Lytechinus pictus: one gene and its partner. The protein of the gene in region 1 purifies or fractionates together with the protein of each later gene. This does not show direct contact. Links are inferred from orthologs where the notes say so. Each region holds a gene or a part of one and is shown in the gene's direction. Other genes may lie near its edges.

Evidence for each region.
Region 2: the proteins of striatin-interacting protein 1 homolog (region 1) and striatin-3-like purify together in Drosophila melanogaster (affinity purification with western blotting; 4 studies listed by BioGRID, with this or other methods). This does not show direct contact. The link is inferred for Lytechinus pictus from reciprocal best matches to the Drosophila melanogaster genes Strip and Cka.

What each region holds. Positions count from the first base shown.
Region 1 is NC_087247.1:65,373,475-65,383,057, reverse strand, and holds the start of striatin-interacting protein 1 homolog, read left to right. Parts: upstream 1-5,629; coding exon 5,630-5,644; intron 5,645-6,220; coding exon 6,221-6,290; intron 6,291-9,583.
Region 2 is NC_087251.1:17,504,806-17,513,512, forward strand, and holds the start of striatin-3-like, read left to right. Parts: upstream 1-5,123; 5' UTR 5,124-5,410; coding exon 5,411-5,617; intron 5,618-8,707.

The sequences.
Region 1 (9,583 bases):
GGGTTGGACGGGGTCGCCGATGACGACGTCGAAGATTTCCTCGGCAAACGATGAATGTTAACAAATTGAATATTCCGAACTTGGTCTTCGGGTAAACCAAGTTCTACGATAACCTTCCGCAGGGTGTCAGTAGTATTTTCTCGTGGGCTCTAGGGAACTCCATAAAACAGAAGATTTTGTTTACGGTCATGGATCTCCATCGCGATTGATGAGTCACGCATCATTTGGTTGGATTCCTTCTGCATTCTTGACATTCCAGGGAGGGTCTCGCGTTCTAATATATCGATTCTTGCCGCCGAATTAGCCGATAATGCCTCAACTTCATGGAGAGAAGATTTGATATTTTTCATTTCATCTCGAACTGATAATAATGTTGCCGTTACATTATCAAGTTTGTCTAGAACTTTTGAAGAGAATTTGTCAAATTGGTCCGACACCGCTTCCTCCGTAGCGTACGTATTAGAAATGGGCGTGTCACTGAGTTTGCCGGTGTACGCGGCAGATTTAGATCTTGTATTTGACATTATCAACACATAAGAAGCGACAAAAATCAATAAATGGTGCAAATCCAGTCAATCAGATATTATATTACCTTATGATGCTGAGAAGTAGTTCAAAGAAGGTCCGTTATTGTGGATTTGGAGAGAAAATCCTTCTACATTATCTTCAAAGCGCCCTCAAATTAAAAATGCTTATTATGAAGATTAAACGAGTGGAATACTGACTAAAAACATAATTGTTAACGAAATATATTATTAGTAAGCCATGTATGTGATGAATGTTGTATTTTGATATTCAAAATGGCTGCCAAAGGCCCTAAAAGTATTATGCACAATGAGAAAGAGGTGCAAAGAAATCACACAAAAAAGTGAGTGAGCACTAAAATGCATATATATATGTAATAAATTAAATAGGATACTTTCTAAAAACGTATTTTTCAACGAAATATATCATTCAGGTTTTAAGTTTGTGTTAAATACTGTATTTTGACTTTCAAAATGGCCGCCATAGACATTGACTGTATTATGTACAATGCAAAGTGGGAAACCAATATTCACAGGAGTGAGCACCATAAATGCATGTAGTAGTGATCTATGAGTAAAACATTGTCTGAAAGCATAATTTCTATTAAGATATATCATTTATTCTGCGAGTTAGGTGATAAATACTGTTATTTTTAAGTCAAAATGGCCGCTACAGGCCCTTGCGGTATTATGCACAATGTGAGTGGGAACAAATCATTTCAACGGAATTTGGCTTTGCTTGGCCAAATGGTGATGTATGAGTGAAATATTGTCTGAAAACATGATTTATAACAAAATATATCATATCTTATGTAATTTAGGTGATAAATACTATATTTCAATATTCAAAATGGCTGCCCATATGCCCTTATATGTCCCATGTTACAATGTACACAATACTTTTAGGACCTATGGCAGCCATTTTGAATTTCAAAGTACAGCATTTATTACCTCCACGACCAATATGTGATGTATTTAGTTAGAAATCATGTTTAAGACAATATTTTTACTCGTACATCACAGTTATATGCATTTTATGATTCTCACTCTTGTGAAAATTAGTTTCCCTGTTCGCATGTTACATAACTTAGTTAGGGCTTGTAGACATCGTAGAGGTTATTTTGAATGTCAAAATACAGTATTTATCAACTATATGGCAGAAGAAATGCTATAATTTATATAAAAAATATGTTTTCAAATAACATTTTACTCATACAACAGGATTATATGGATGTCATAGTCAAGCAAATCCAAATTCTTACAAAATTATATGTCCCCATTCACATAGTAGAAGTAGATAATACTGTTAGGGCCTACAGGGGCCATTTTGAATTTCATAATACAGCATTTATCTCATGCATGACAAAAGAAATGATATGTCTTGCAATGAAACATGTTACTTGTCAGACAATATTTTACTCGTAGATCACAATTACATGCATTTTATTTTTCTACTCGTGTGAAAATTAGTTTCTCCATTCGCATTGTACATGATAAATATAGGGCCTATGGCAGCCATTTTGAATTTCAAAATTCAGCATTTATCAATGAATTATTTATGAATGGCATATTAACAATTATGTCAGTATTCCACTCGTTTATCTTAATAATATGCAATTCAGTGCTCACTCTTGTCATTTTTTGGGCCCCGGCCATATGATTGCCATTGTACATAATACTCTTTGGGCCAGTGGCGGCTATTTTAGACATCAAAATACAGCAATGTTCTCATATATGACATGATAAATGATATATCTCGTTAGTAATGATGATTTGCATATGTTACTTCGTTCATACAACGCGATTTTTGCAGTTTAGTGCTCATTTGTGTGATAATTAGTTTTCCCTATTCATATTGTACATAAAAGAGTATAGAATTTTGTCAAAAATTATTTTTTCAGAGAGTGTTTCACTCCTGCCACACAATTTCATGCATTTCATAGCCAATGGGCGGACGATTTTATGATTTTCATGGGTAATTTGCATATTTTGGCGGCCATATTGGATTTTGTCAATTTGCGGAAAATGCTCAAGGTTAGACGAGTGGCATCATCCAGATTCGTAATCAGCACCCTTGAATTGACAAGAAACCATCAAAAATTATTGTATATACAATAAACAAGGTTTGGTCCCGGGGGGGCCACTTCCATTGACGAGTGGATACCATGCGCGACCATGTGGTCTCAAAAAGCACCCTAAACACGTATTTTCCATATTCTGAAAATGCAATAACAAGTATTATTGGCGTCTGAAACCCTACCCTTAACAAGTATTGGAAAGAAAATGATACTCTTGCATGGCAAGTATTCCCTGAAATGAACCCCTAAACAAGTACAGCGATATGTCACGGGTCCGTCGGTCGTCGGTTTTACCTTTACACACCGTTTGGTTTAGTACGGCCCCACCTTCCACACCTCTTGCAAATCGGACTCTAAACACGTAGTGTTGGGGCAAAAAGGACATCCTTTATAAAACATTTTAATTTTGTTTTATCATCCCCGCAAATTTGACCCTAAACACGTAGCTTTTCTAGCGAAATTGATACCCTTTTTTCATTATTTTTTGTGTTTTTGACACCCTTATCACGTTACGTACGTAACGTGCCCTATCTTGAAAAAGACATCCTTTTTACGTGTTTTTTTGGTCGCGCATGGTATCCACTCGTCAATGTAAGTGGCCCCCCCGGGGGTTTGGTCAATTCTCTATGGGGCCTATCCCGGACTAAGAGGCTTGACAGACAGAGCAACGAGTAGTGTGCAAACTGGATTATACATGTATTACCAGTCAGACCGCAGGTCCCTATGCTAATGAGCAAAAAGGCCAGATTCATCCAAATCATCTCGTGGCTGAATCCTCCTCCTTGCAAAATCTCGTGATTCGTGAGATTTTCTTTCTCTAAGAATTTACCGGTTTTAACCTCAAGTTAAATGAAATATTATTGCACCATCAGATAGAGTAAATGTTACTCTGTCATATTGGTCATTTATTTTGTATACAATATTTTGTTAAATAAGTAAATTTCTGGCCTGAAAATGTGCCTCAAAACAGAATTTTCTTCCTCTGTTTTCTTTTGCAAATTGTGCAAAACTTTTTATTTTGAGCCTCAATGATATATATATCACCATAAAGCTGAACTTCTGTACTTTCTCACAATGCCACTCTTCATATGCGGCACCTTTTAATCGGGTCAAGATCACACTTTTCCCACCAAGGTACAAGACGAGATTTCTGAAATTTTGTACTTGCATGAAATCCAGAGTTCTGATTGGCTGGATAAGATTCACAGAACAACAGGCGCGGGGTATTTGAGGAGATTACCACATGGGAAGTGTGCCCTTCCCATGAACCCATGCACTGGAACCGTTGGAATTTGCCAGTGTGTGGTCTCTTTGACCAATCAGAGTGCAGTATTCTTGTTTTCAAGCTGCTTTATGTACTTGGCAAATGAAAAGTGTGATCTTGACCCGATTAAACCAATTCTTATTTTGAAACCTATATCATTTTAAAGCATACATATTCAGCTTTGTCATGATCTAAAAATCATTTGGGCTCAAACAAAAATAAAGTGTGAAAATAGCAGCTTTTGTCAGGTGAAAATAATTATTTTGTAGCATATTTTAGATCAAAATTTTAACCTATATTACAAAATCTTTGAATAAATTCAAACACATGACCTGAAAGAATGATTCTTCTTCTTTACAATGATACCAAATTCATGAAATTCGATGCACAAGTAGAGCAGCAATGACCGAATGAAAAGAGGTGTTTTGGTCCGCATCAAGCTCATTAAATATGCAAAACATCTCAAGTCATGAATATCACTTGGATGAAAGAAGCCACTTTCTTGGGATCTGCCGTCTGACTGTTACATTGCAAATAGACCTTCAGCTGTAACACATATAAATATAACACGTATATTCAAATTTTATATATTTACAGTCAGACCTCTCTTATCCGGCCTCCCCTTATCCGGATCTCTCTATTATCCAGACGCACACTTGCCGAGATTTTTTTTTTTTTTTTTTTTTAATTCAATCTAGTACGTGAGGAAATGAGATTTCAATCTAAACTTAATCCTATACGCAAACTCACTTTGATTACATATATTTTCCAATATAGTCTACCTACAACAAAATTATTTTTTTCATGAAAATATCTCACCGAAAGAACTTAGGCATGATAATTTCCAGTAAATCAGGGCGCAGCGCAAACATTTCATCACGTTTCTCTTTTTGCTTTCTGGGAAAAACAACACATGTCTCGCTAGCTAATGTTAAGCCTCAATACGGACTGCTCCATCTGTCATGTTTGAGCCTACAGTCAGTGTAACAATGGCTGACATTGCGAAGCTGCGATACCCGTCGCGATCTAATTGTAAAACTTAGTTTCATCGAGTCATTCTCTTTCTTTCGAGGTATGCTCGATGTATACCTCAATCATTTTAGCAGGTAAATAATCCAACAGTTATGGCCATCGATCGATTTCATTTCCGTAAAATACCGCCTATAATTTGCACTGACACTGCAGTGAATACTGTCTGTACGCCCACTACAATATATAATGTGTAGCTACCGCCGTTGGGCTGGGGAGGCAGCCAGCAGCACAGCTGCGTGTATTTAATATTGGGACTCCCAGATCCGGATAAATCCCTTATCCGGATTGGTGCTGGTCCCAACGTGTCTGGATAAAAGAGGCCGGACTGTATTTTATGTTATCATATTATAATGAATACTTTTCATAGGTTGACTATATTAAACACAGGAGTAAAATAGCTTGAAATACCTTCCTCTCTAGCAGTTATTTGTCTGAAGGAAAACAAAATTTGCTTCGCTACCTCGTTCATGGATTCTGTGAAAATTTGAATGCTCCCTTTGGCATGAGCTTATCTATATATATCAAGGAGTGACTGGTATAAAACAAAGGGTTTTACAAGGTCTAGTATGATTTTTCTGAATTTCAGTTATTACATTGAATAAAAACAATTAGACTATATACAGGTAGGTCTTGTAAAACATGCAACATTTTGAAGGGGTGTGCTATCGATGGTTCACACATTCTGTGTACAATCATCAATTATTACCTGAACTTCATAATGGCAACCTAAAATGCCATTTGGAAAGGTAAATTGGTATAGGTTGCCCAGCTGGCAACCAAAGAAAAAAGTGAAGTGAGAGCACTCAGGCACTTTGGGAATTTCTTCCTACCTGGTACCAATTTACTACAACGAGGTGGAGAGTTGCAATGAAAAAGAATTTGAGCCCTGGATCTTGTAGTTTATTGTCCAGAGACATATCCACTCAGCCAAATCACCTCTATATGTGATGCTTCATGATTTTATTGCACATGCATGCACTTTGTCACAGTGACGCAGAGGCGGAAAAATATGATAAATTTTGACAAAGGGAATCGAAATTTGTCTAATTTCTTGCCTCCACCCCTCATCAAATGGGATTGCAATTAAAGTGATGACCATTTTTTACTTGCCAAAATATATTTATGGGAGAAGTAAAAACAAATGTGGTGGCCTTTGACCCCTTTTTTTCTTGTCAGAGCATTTTGAAGAAAAAGTTTGCCCTCACCCCCCTTCCCGGGAGTGGATCCTCCACGTATTGCATTTTTCCTTGTCTATTTTGTTTTAAATCTAATGTACATAGATGAAGTCACATTCATATTGTATTTGTATCTTATAATTTCAGGGCCAAAATGATACACCTGACTTGGATTTTGAGTATGATGATGCCCATAGATATACCTCTGAAATCGCAGGTAAATAATACATTGTCAGACTTATTTGCAGCTGCTTGAGTATCATAGTATAGGTCAAACAAAATACTTGGACCTTGGATTTATGTAGGGTTATTTTTTTAACCTGACCTTACTGAATATTAGCATATATATAAACTACATCTAGGAAACATTTTCAAAAATATTTTCAAGTATTTTTTAGGAATATTACACATCAAAAGATTGTTCATGATACATAATTGTTTTGGTTCCTCTCACTGGGATGTTATGTGTCTCTTTCAAGGTTCCTTTACTTAATATTTTAAAACCAACAATATCAGGGAAATTCTGTTGAGGTTTGTACAAATTAGATTGCACTATTTTGCTTGGAACTAAGATAGAAGTACTTATGACTATCTACATATTCCTACTAAAAGTATAAAACAATTGATGATACACTTGTTATTGTATGACATTCCTATTGAATTGTATACCAAATTAAAAATATAACTATGGATGGTTAGTAATTGTGGTCATTGGGATATACCAATGTAGTAACGGTCCATATGACATATTGATGGCTTTAGACTTATTCGATCATTGAGCAATGACATGCAATGCTTCAATGATCAAAGCTTGTTCATACATTTTTTTAAAGTTGAGATATTGATGTTTTATCAATGTACAATACATAGCATCTCTGCTGGTTGATAAATTCAATGATAAATTCAATGAAAACTGAAATTCAGGAAACCTAATGAAGGAAATTTCTATTCTCATCTTATTCATCTAACATAATGCAAAATTTGAGAATCGTTTGGAATACAAAAAAAATTCAAAGAGTGGCATATCAGTTCTTGAATACATAAAATTAACAAGCATAATCATTTAAGCATTTTGCATTTCAATTCATTAACTAGATTTTAATTCGTCATGAGGACGAATTAGGTGGTCTGTCATAGATCGATTAATGGATAAACAGACATAATTATTTAAACAAATGAGTAGATATTAGATTGAAAGATAAACAGACAGACAGATAGACATGTATATTTAAACAGATACATATAGGAAAGAAAGAAAAATAGATAGATAGATGGATGGAGAAATAAATGATTGGTGGATAGATTAATAGAAGATAGACTGGTATATTATATATTGAGATAGATAGATAAATAGATAATGATTAATGACAAAAATTACGATGATGATGATGATAATGATTTATGACAAATATGATGATGATAACAGTGATTATGATAAATTTGTTATACACATAGATTCAGAGACAGATAGATACATATGTACAAACACAGATAGACAGACAGATAGATAAATAGATAGATGGATAGTAAGATAGATAGACAGACAGATAGAAAATAGATATACCGTATACATGTATGTATATATTTAATGATAGATAGACATATAGATAGAAAGATAGAATAACAATCAGATTTAATAGATAGATAGATATATATTAGATAGATAGATAGACAGACAAATAAACAGACATAATTATTGTAACAGATCAATAGATATCAGAATGAAAGATAAAAAGATAGACATACATATAGACATATATATTTAAACAGATAGATATAACATAGATAGATGGATGGATAGATAGATAAATAGATATAAAGATCGATGGATTTGTGGATAAATAAAATATAGGTGGATAGATTGATAGAAGATAGATAGATAGATAAACATACATAATTATTTAAACAGATAAATATTAGATTGAAAGCTAAATGGATAGATAGACAGATATATTCAAACAGATATAGATAGATAGATCGATAGAAAATAGTTAGAGAGACAGGCAGATAGATAGATAGATAGATAGATAGACATATTTTATTAGATAGATATATATTAGACATAGAGATAGATATATAGATAGATAGATACATGTATCATGTAGGTAGATAGATAGACAGATAGATAGATCGATAGATAGCTAGACAGATAGATTGATCGATTTTTAACATAGATAACGGATAGATAGACAGATATGATTAAAAGGATAGATAAAATATGAAAAAAAGTAATTAAATCTGTTTTAGTTTGCAATATTTGAACTATTATTCATTAGAATTGTTATAAAAGATCATGTGCGAGATAGTAAAAAGTAAAAAAAAAAAAAAAAAAATTTCATATTCACCCTCGGACTCGAACCCGTGCCTGCATGACTGAATGAGATGCAAGTCTGACGCCTTACCCATTGAGCTACAATATTTCCCATAGACTTTACATGTATGCAATATACGAGAATCTCAAATCCAATTTTGCAAGTGAAATACGGGCATGATCCCGGCATCTGATCGGAAGATTAAGGCAACAATTGCGAAAGCTTAGAATCTCAGCTACAACATACTAAAAGCTCAAGGAAAACCGACAAGCAAAGGTGAAGATATGGCTCACGAAATAGAGGAATGTAGAATCCAGTTTTAAGAAAAAGTCATCTACCATAGCGATTGCACGCAAAATGAGCAAAAATGACATGCCTCTAAAAATTGCAATTTTTCAGGATGATCCGTTCATCAAAATGAAAAATAAAGGTCATAATTCAGAAAGAGTAAGACCTAAGCTACAACATATCAAAAATTGGGCAAAAATTGACCAATATTTATGGAGTAAGAGTAAAATTTTCATAATTATAATGACGTCATAACAAAAAAAAAATGAAATTTGGACTTCTGACGCCCTTTTGATGACGTCATGATATATGTTAGGGTCAAATGAGACATGAAATCATATCTATGATTCATACTCTATCGAAATATGAAAAAAAATTGGGGGTCCCCGTTCGTTCTGAAGAGCTATAATGAATTTTCAATAGGCATGTTTTTGCCCATCTATGGCCTATAGTTAAAGCTCGCGAGCACATATGCTGCAAACTTTAGTGGGTGCTCATTCCCTCATTAATGATCGTAGAGAGCTGATCGAGGTATCAATTTGATCAGAATTATATCATTAATGGATACAGATAGAAAAAACAGCGATTTTTTGCTGCGTAACGCTGTTATGCACAAAGACGTGCGCGCAAAATGTTGAAATTCTTAAAATGACCTGAAACGTACCCAAAATTAATCATGGACGATTTTTCGCTTTTTTTATTTTGACGCGCACGTACTCGCGCGTCATGACCTGTGCATAACCTTTGATGACATCGACAGTTGAACTTTGTCCTAAAGTTAATATGATGGATTATTGATGATCCGTTATGAAGATATGATCAAATAAAGAATTTTACAAAATGGCGCCTAGATGACGTCATCATGACCTGATGACCTTGAAAAGCTTAACTCCGCGTCTCTATTATAGAC
Region 2 (8,707 bases), on another chromosome or scaffold:
GTTTTCAAAATATCCCTTTTCAGGTCTGATTGTCAAAACGTATCAGCTAGCGCGGCACGCTCTCATTTTGATTGGCGAGTTGTGTATGTCTCAATATTGATTATACAACAAACTACATGTACTTAAAATCCCCTTTTCATGACAGTTTATCAAAAAATTTGGGTCGCGATTTGCACTCGCATTAATGGTTAAAATATATTAACTGATGCATCCTATTTATAATTACAAAAAGACTTGGAATGTCCAGTTTTCAGGCCATAATGTCATCATAATTCGCGCCCTCATTAGCATTAATTAATAAGATATTAATTTAATAATTAAATTGCCCCTGTTGTTTCATCTCGCGCTTAGCAAGAGGAATAGGAAGATATAGTCATTTTCATATTCATGTCCTAACGATGTCCCGGTCCTATGTTCAAACTCAAAGTAATAATAATTATTAAAAAATCAGCTCTTTAAGTGTGATCCATATCAACCTCACAATTTTCCTACAAAGTGCTTGAAATATAGAGCTAAAATTTACTCTCGTTTCAGATCGAAATATCAAATAGTTTAAGCTCGCGCTTCGCACTCGCTTTGATTTTCATTATAAAAAATGTATTTAGAATGCCTAAATACTAGGTAGAAATCTGAAACACGTGTTTATTCAGATACGCAGCTTGTTCTCTATTTAAATCATTATCCAGTTTCAGATCACAATATCAAAAATTGTCTGCTCGCGCTTTGCAATGTAGGAAACTTTCCAATTACTCATCCTTTTCATGATTTACAAAACATGAATAGAGTGTCCAGAATTTTTCCGCTCGCGCTTCGCGCTTGCATCACTAATTGTTTAGTTATATACTTATTCTTTTCACGATTAGAAAAAGTGCTTAGAATTTCCATTCTTCAGGTAGAAATGTCAAAATTTTCAGCTCGCGCTTCGCGTTCGCATTATTTGATAGTTAAAATATGTAACGTCTTCATGGCTAACAAGCAGCCGTTAACAGATCCTTTTTCTTATGATCAGATCAAAACGTATAATAAAAATTAATTAAAAAAATTCTGCTCGTGCTTTGCGCTCGCATTATTAATATAGGAAGATTTCCAATTACATATCCTTTTCATGATTTACAAAATATGAATAGAGTGTCCCATTTTAGGTTTAGATCTCGAATTTTTCAGCTCGCGCTTTGCGCTCGCATCATTTATTAAATTATATACTTATCGTTTTCCATTCTTCAGGTAAAAATGCCAAAATTTTCAGCTCGCGCTTCGCGTTCGCATTATTTGATAGTTAAAATATGTAACGTCTTCATGGCTAATAAGCAGCCGTTAACAGATCCTTTTTCTTATGATCAGATCAAAACGTATAATAAAAATTGATAAAAAAAATTCTGCTCGCGCTTTGCGCTCGCATTATTAATATAGGAAGATTTCCAATTACACATCCTTTTCATGATTTACAAAATATGAATAGAGTGTCCCATTTTAGGTTTAGATCTCGAATTTTTCAGCTCGCGCTTTGCGCTCGCATCATTTATTAAATTATTATACTTATCGTTTTCCATTCTTCAGGTAAAAATGCCAAAATTTTCAGCTCGCGCTTCGCGCTCGCATTATTTGATAGTTGAAATATGTAACGTCTTTATGGCTAAGAAGCTGCCGTCAACAGATGCTTTTTTTATCAGATCAAAATGCATATTAAAAATTTCTGCTCGCGCTTCGCGCTCGCACTCTTTAAATAAGGCTTATGATATTATATAATGTAAGGGGGCCCTCAGCACACACATATATATAAAGCTTAAAAGTGACTATTAGGACTACCCCTTCAAAGAAACAAACAAAAATTAACTTCGAGCGGCCGATCGGGGAAAATGTGGCTGAAAACAAATTCCGCCCCCCCCCCCTATTGGCGAAGGCTGGATCCGCCCCTGATGAAGGGGTAGTCCTAATAGTCACTTCTATGCTTTATTCTTATAAATCAACATAAATATAAACTAATCTCATAAGCCTTATTCAAACTTTTTTATTTTATGTATTTTGTCCTGAAATTTAAACATTCTGGACAATGTTTCTGATGTTAAACGAGATGTGTATCAAACTAAATAATTACTGCGAGCGCGAAGCGCGATCAGAATATTTTTTTCATATAGGTTTTGATCTGATCAAAAAAGGATCTAGTGCTTGTTAGCCATGATAACCTTACATATTTCAACTATCAAATAATGCGAGCGCGAAGCGCGAGCTGAAAATTTTGACATTTCTACCTGATAATGGAAATTCTAAGCACATTTGGTAATCGTGAAAAGGATAAGTAATTAAATAATAACTAAATAATAGATGCGAGCGCGAAGCGCGAGCGGAAAAAAATCGCGACTAGAATTATTTTTATTTTTAATATACGTTTTAATCTGATCAAAAGAGTATCTGTTAATGGCTTGTTAATGGCTGCTTGATAGCCATGAAGACGTTACATATCTCAACTATCAAATAATGCGAGAGCGAAGCACGAACTGAAAATGTTGACTTATTACCTGAAGAATGGAAATTCTAAGCACGTTTTTTAATCGTGAAAGGATAAGTGTAGGCCTATAACTAAACGATTGATGCGAGCTTGAAGCGCGAGCGGACAAATTTGAGATTTACACCTAAAGATATAGGACACTCTATTCATGTTTTTTAAATCATGGAAAGGATGAGTAGGCCTAATTGGAAATCTTCTTACATTAATAATGCGAGCGCAAAGCGCGAGCAGAAAATTTTTGATAGTTTGTGATCTGAAATTGGATAATGATTTAGATAGAGAACAAGCTGCGTATCTGATATCGACCTAGAATTTGGGTATTCTAAATAGCTTTTTTATCATGAAAATCAATAAAGCGAGCGCGAAGTGCGGGCTTAAAATATTTGATATTCCGATCTGAAAAAGGGTTGATTTAAGCTTTGTATTTCAAATACTTTGTAGGAAAATTGTGAGGTGGATATGGATCACAGTTAAAAAAAGAGCTGATATGTTTCATTATTATTACTTTGAGTTTTGACATAGGGCCGGGACATTCTATAAGGACATTATGTCATCATAAATGATGACTATCTTCCTATTTCTCCTCCTAGCGCGAGATTAAACTTGTCGATATTCCATTATGAAAAAGGGACAACTTGATTATTAAATTAATATTCATTATTCTAATAAGCCTAATGAGAGCGCGAAATTTTAGCGGCCTGAAAACTGGACATTTTAAGCACTTTTGTAATTATGAATAAGATACATGAGTTTTATCTTTTCAACAATCAATGCGAGCGCAAATCGCTAGCCGAAATTTTTGATGAACTTTCATGAAACGGGGATTTTAAGTAGTTTGTTTGAGAATTAATATTGAGATATACACAACTCATCAAAATGCGAGCTTGCAGCTCTAGCTGATATGCTTTGACAATCTGATCTGAATAGGGATATTTTGAGAACTTTATGGAATACAGGAAAATAATATACCTGACAAATCAAATTTTGCGAGCGCGCAGCGCGAGCAGAAAATTTTAATATTCCACCATAAAACATACATTTTTACAGAGCACTTTTTAAAAATCAATTTGTAAATCAAACAAAATAATGAAAGTTCGATTTCCGAGCTGAAATATGTTTTGTATATTGACTTCGAAATTTGATATTTGAAGCTCCATATTGAGCAAGATAATGTAATTCACCTAAAAGGCAAAGCGAGCGCGAAGCGCGAGCGAAAATTTTATATAGTAACATAAAATATTTTTTTTGATTATTTTCTAAGTCTTCCCCTCATTTATGTCATTCAGTCGTCTTCCTCTTCTTATGTTTCCCCTTCTTTTTTCTCCTCTCTTTTCCCTTCATTTTCTTTCTTGGGGGAGGATGGTGTCGATTTGTTCTCAACAAGCACCATTGTCACCAGTAACTGTTTTCACAGAATTTGATTATTATTTTCCTGTCTACTCGGTTCCAAAGCAATCACGTCAGCTCGGCCTTAGATGAGTTTTAACCTTTAAGTATTACTAATGTTACTGGCAGGAAAATAATGTGATTTCATTTCATTATTTCCTTCTGCATTTATTATCATAACATAACAAACACAATGGTGGTGGCTTTTTTGGCATGAATTCTAAAATTGATACTACTATTTCAAACAAAAAATATCTACAACCAAATCATTATTACATTTACAATTTGCCGTAGAACAGTTGTCATCAGCAGATTGCTTGAAAATTAATTTATAAAGAAGAATGGGGACATTTTTTAAAACCAAAAAGTATCGGTTCATAATTTGAGTAATGAGGATGATGGTGACACTGGTGAAGATGAAGGCAATGAAGATAAAGATGACCATGATTGTGATGTTGGAGATGATTAAATCGGAGGAATGATTTCATAAAATAAATTGAAACTTTGACACACAAATTTTACTTCAAATGTTCTGATGATAATAATAGTGAATTAACGTTGATCTTAACTGAGCAAAGAGATGATTTTTTTAAAGACTTATAAAGTCTTGTCAAGACCACGATGATGTGTTACATAGATCGCATTGATACACATGGACACTATTAGGCCTATATATCGATTTATAAAATGGTAATGCACCAAGCTTTTTCAGAAATGAGTGCATGAGAATAGCAGAATTCTGTAGAGGAAAACGAAGCAGGACACTGAGAACGATTTTTTGTTTACAAGGGATGTTGATGTAAATTTGAATAGAAAAAAGGGGAGGGGAGGGTTCACTACAAAAAAGTACCCAGGTACCCAATTTATGATTTAATATACTAAATGATGTCATAAAACCAACGAGGTATGATGAGACCATGGACATACTACTAGGTCCATGATGAGACCAAATTAGATTCGGGACGCAAGGAGTGGGCATGCACCTGCATGGTGTCGCCAGTGGTAACACTCAGGGTCGGGTTTTTTTTTTTTTTTTTTTTTTTTTTTTTTTTACCAGTCGGAAACTTGGGTAGAGCCCGGAGTACGAAAAACGTGCAAGTGAATGTACCATAATCTTATCCTATCTGTGCAGCAGACAAACAAAAATCTTTCTCCAAGTATATCCCTCACCCACCCCCAATTTTCAGAGACCACAAGTCTAACAGTAAGTCTACCAGTAGTCTGTTCAAGTGTATGAGTATGACGTCAATTGATGAGATCGGAGGGAAGGAGGTCGAAGGGGAGATGCATCCCCATGCATGCATGGTGAATGGATAACTTATATTAATTTCATGGATAGAGCTGATTTCGGGTTGAACATTTTTACCCACTAAAGCCTTCTTTATATTACAGTTTGGGCCTTTGGGACACTCAATCACTATTTCTCCATTACTGGTATATCTTGAAAAAGACTAGCGTGACATCCAATCATCTCAACAAAATGGCGACGTAGTAGTAAGATAGGATACTGGATACAGAATGGATAGTGAATCGGGACTGTCGCAAAACCACGTTAATCAGATGAATTCTGGAACTTCTTCTGTAAATAACATCAGCGGTAAACAACAAGATGATCATCCAAGACCCAACTACACAATACCAGGAATTTTACATTTTATACAACATGAATGGGCTCGTTTCGAAATGGAACGCGCTCAGTGGGAAGTGGAACGAGCTGAACTTCAGGTAGGCTGTCCCACCCGCACGCAAACCATAGTCATAGACCGCCGGGCTGTATGGGCATTCCCATGGCCATGGCATGCCTTATGCATATGCACGCAAGGCAAAGTCACGTCGCTGAGCTGGAGGCTTGAGCGGAGTGAATAATTAGTGTATTATCAACGTTAGATTATATTGAATACCATGAATACTCTGTTGTTTATTCTTGACTTGTTACTGTTCTGATGATTTTGATAATGATTTAGATTTAGTCAGTGACGTTCTTTTTATTTTTTTAAATTTCTATTTCAGATGTTTCATTATCAAAACAGGTCAGGAATCGAATTGTGACACAACATCACTCATCAGCACAAGCCACAACAACTGTCAATGTCATTGTCAAACGACATTCATTTTTTTTACTAGCTTGACTTTGTTTTTTTTCTTGAAATTAAATTTTAAGTAACAGCAGCTAGCAGGATCAGTGATGTCAAGTCAAGGACAAGGAACTACTGCTTCCCTTTTCTATTGTTTCAAGAATCAGTGGAATTGTGATAATTAAAAGTGACAAAAAATAAAAATGAGATAATGTGAAAGTTGTTGACTGAATAAAGAATACAAGATCGAGGAGAGGCCTTTGTCATGCTTTAACTGACCAGCCTTGTATTATTAGTACCTGAATTAATTAACTCCCATATCAAGTAGTAGATACAATTTTGCTTGACAGCTTTCTAAATATTGTGCAAAGCAAGACTAAGAGCATAACCAGATGCGTTCACACCTCATAAGTTACATTCAATTTCAATTTTATTTTTGAGATTGAAAATTGAAAATTTTGGTATCGCATATATGATGTCTCGTTCTAACACTAGTTAGTATCCATGTTCTCATAATCAATTACGACATTGGATTCTAAAGTTACCGTAAGTAACGGTGTATTAACCGCACCTTTTTCTCGGCGGGATATAAGCAAAAGTCGGGGGTGCGGTTTATACACGGTGACGGGTCTGAGCCCGCCCGCGTAACCCCTCCCGAACATGTAAGAAGTCTGCCAGTTCACAACACATCGAGTGGCCGGGCGTAGCCGCCCAGTGCAATGTCGTTTAGAGGGGTATGAGCCGCGGGTAATGGGTAGCGATTATTACGATCTTATGATCAAATACTGTCGTAACAAATGCACCCACCTTCATGACACTAATTTCGACTTTATTCTCGATTCAAAGCAGTGAAGTTCCCTGGCTAAGTTCAAAGAGACGCCAAGCATTCTCAGTAATAATTTGTCACAGCTGAGCGAGAGCCAAGAGCTAGCTTGCGTTGTATTGTGGTTTTAGTACGACTTAAGCTGGCGCTATTCATTTAATTTAACCCCTCAAAGTCCCGTTTCGCGCCAGCTTATTTTTTTCTTTCCCGTTTGCTTTTCATAAGATACCATGTACACCGTGCACCACGCACGAGAGAGACGGCACGAAGCCGTCAAACAACTGGAAAAAATACCAATTTCTTTGTTTCTTGAACCTTCCTGTAATCCCGTATCCAAAATTCATGCTAAGACATCGAATGCTAGACAAATTCTGAAAGTGATTGTGAGGTTTTGATGCAAGAAATGTGAAAGACACATCACAATTTGATAAGATGTACTGGTAGTGGTACCGTATCGAAGTTTGAAATGTACATGTACAAGAAAGGCAGTGCTGTGTGTGTGTACACTGTGACTGTGAGGTGAGTGAGTGTGTAAATTGCCAATATTGGCGGGACCTTTCTTTCTTGCTAACATTTGTAGATGAATTGATCAAGAACAGCAGATTTCTGCATACTGGTAATCTCTTTGAATTCTTTGAAAACTTTAACTTAGTTTTTGTTTTTTCGTACCTCAAACATGCATGAAAATGTGAGGTTTTTTTTTTTTTTTTTTTTTTAGTCCAAAGTTGGGGGTGCGGTTTATACACGGGTGCGGTTAATACACCGTTACTTACGGTACTCCAAAATTTCAACCAAATAAGAAAATATATGACCAATTCATGTGCTAGAAAGTAATTTTATTAACTTAGTACTTTGCAACGAACTCTTAAAGTGAATTGAAAAATAATAAGGAAAAAGAACATTTTAATGCCTTTGTTTTCTCAAAATTAAAAATAGATCTGGGGAGCGTTTCATGAAAGGACTTGTCAGACGTTTTATCCGACAAGTCCCATTTTATCCGACAGTTACCATAGTAACATTGCTTATCAGCCAATCAAAATCAAGGAAAGATGTCAGATCTGACAACATGTCGGACATAAATGTTGATGAAATGCTCCCCTGGGATCAAGATAGCTGGTTGTTGATTTTGTAAATTTTCCAATGTATCCCACAGAAATACAATTGCCCTTTTCAATTGCATGTTCTTACCATACAAGACAGAGTTTTGTGACTCATGGTTATTTTCATGTTTGAAACATTCTTAAAAACTGCATCTGAAAAAATACTGTCCACATTTGTAAATAACAGAATTATAGCCAGGGCTATTCAATCATCAGTTTCAGTCTCTTGTATAAAGGCTTCATGCACTGATTATTAAAGGGATACTCCAGGCTGAAAATATCTGATTTGAACAAATAAAGAAAATCAGACAATCAAAACACCGAAAATTTGATCAAAATTGGACAGAGAATAACAAAGTTATGGCATTTTATAGATTGCATTATTCCGGTGAAACAGTTCTAGGCATGTCTTCATAAATGTTCAATGATCAAACTGATGATGTCATTTCCCCCACTTGTTTTTTGGTATGTTATTGTAAGAAATTAGGTTTATTCAAATTTTTTCCTCCAACAATTAACCAATTGGATTGACAGCAATAGTGCATTGGATATTCATTGCTGCAACTTATTTCATTATAAAGGAGACACATATCATTCATACATATATGAAAAAATGAAACAATTATGATTTCATGTAATAAGATAAGAAGAAGGAAAGTGGGGATGTGACATCAGCTCGCCTAATGAATGTTCATGAGGACAAGCGTATTACCGTACTGTTTTCACAATGTAATTGCTAAACTTTAAAATTTAATAACTTCACTATTTGCTATCAGATTTTGAAGAAATTATCAGCATTTTACTGAGTGTATTTCAC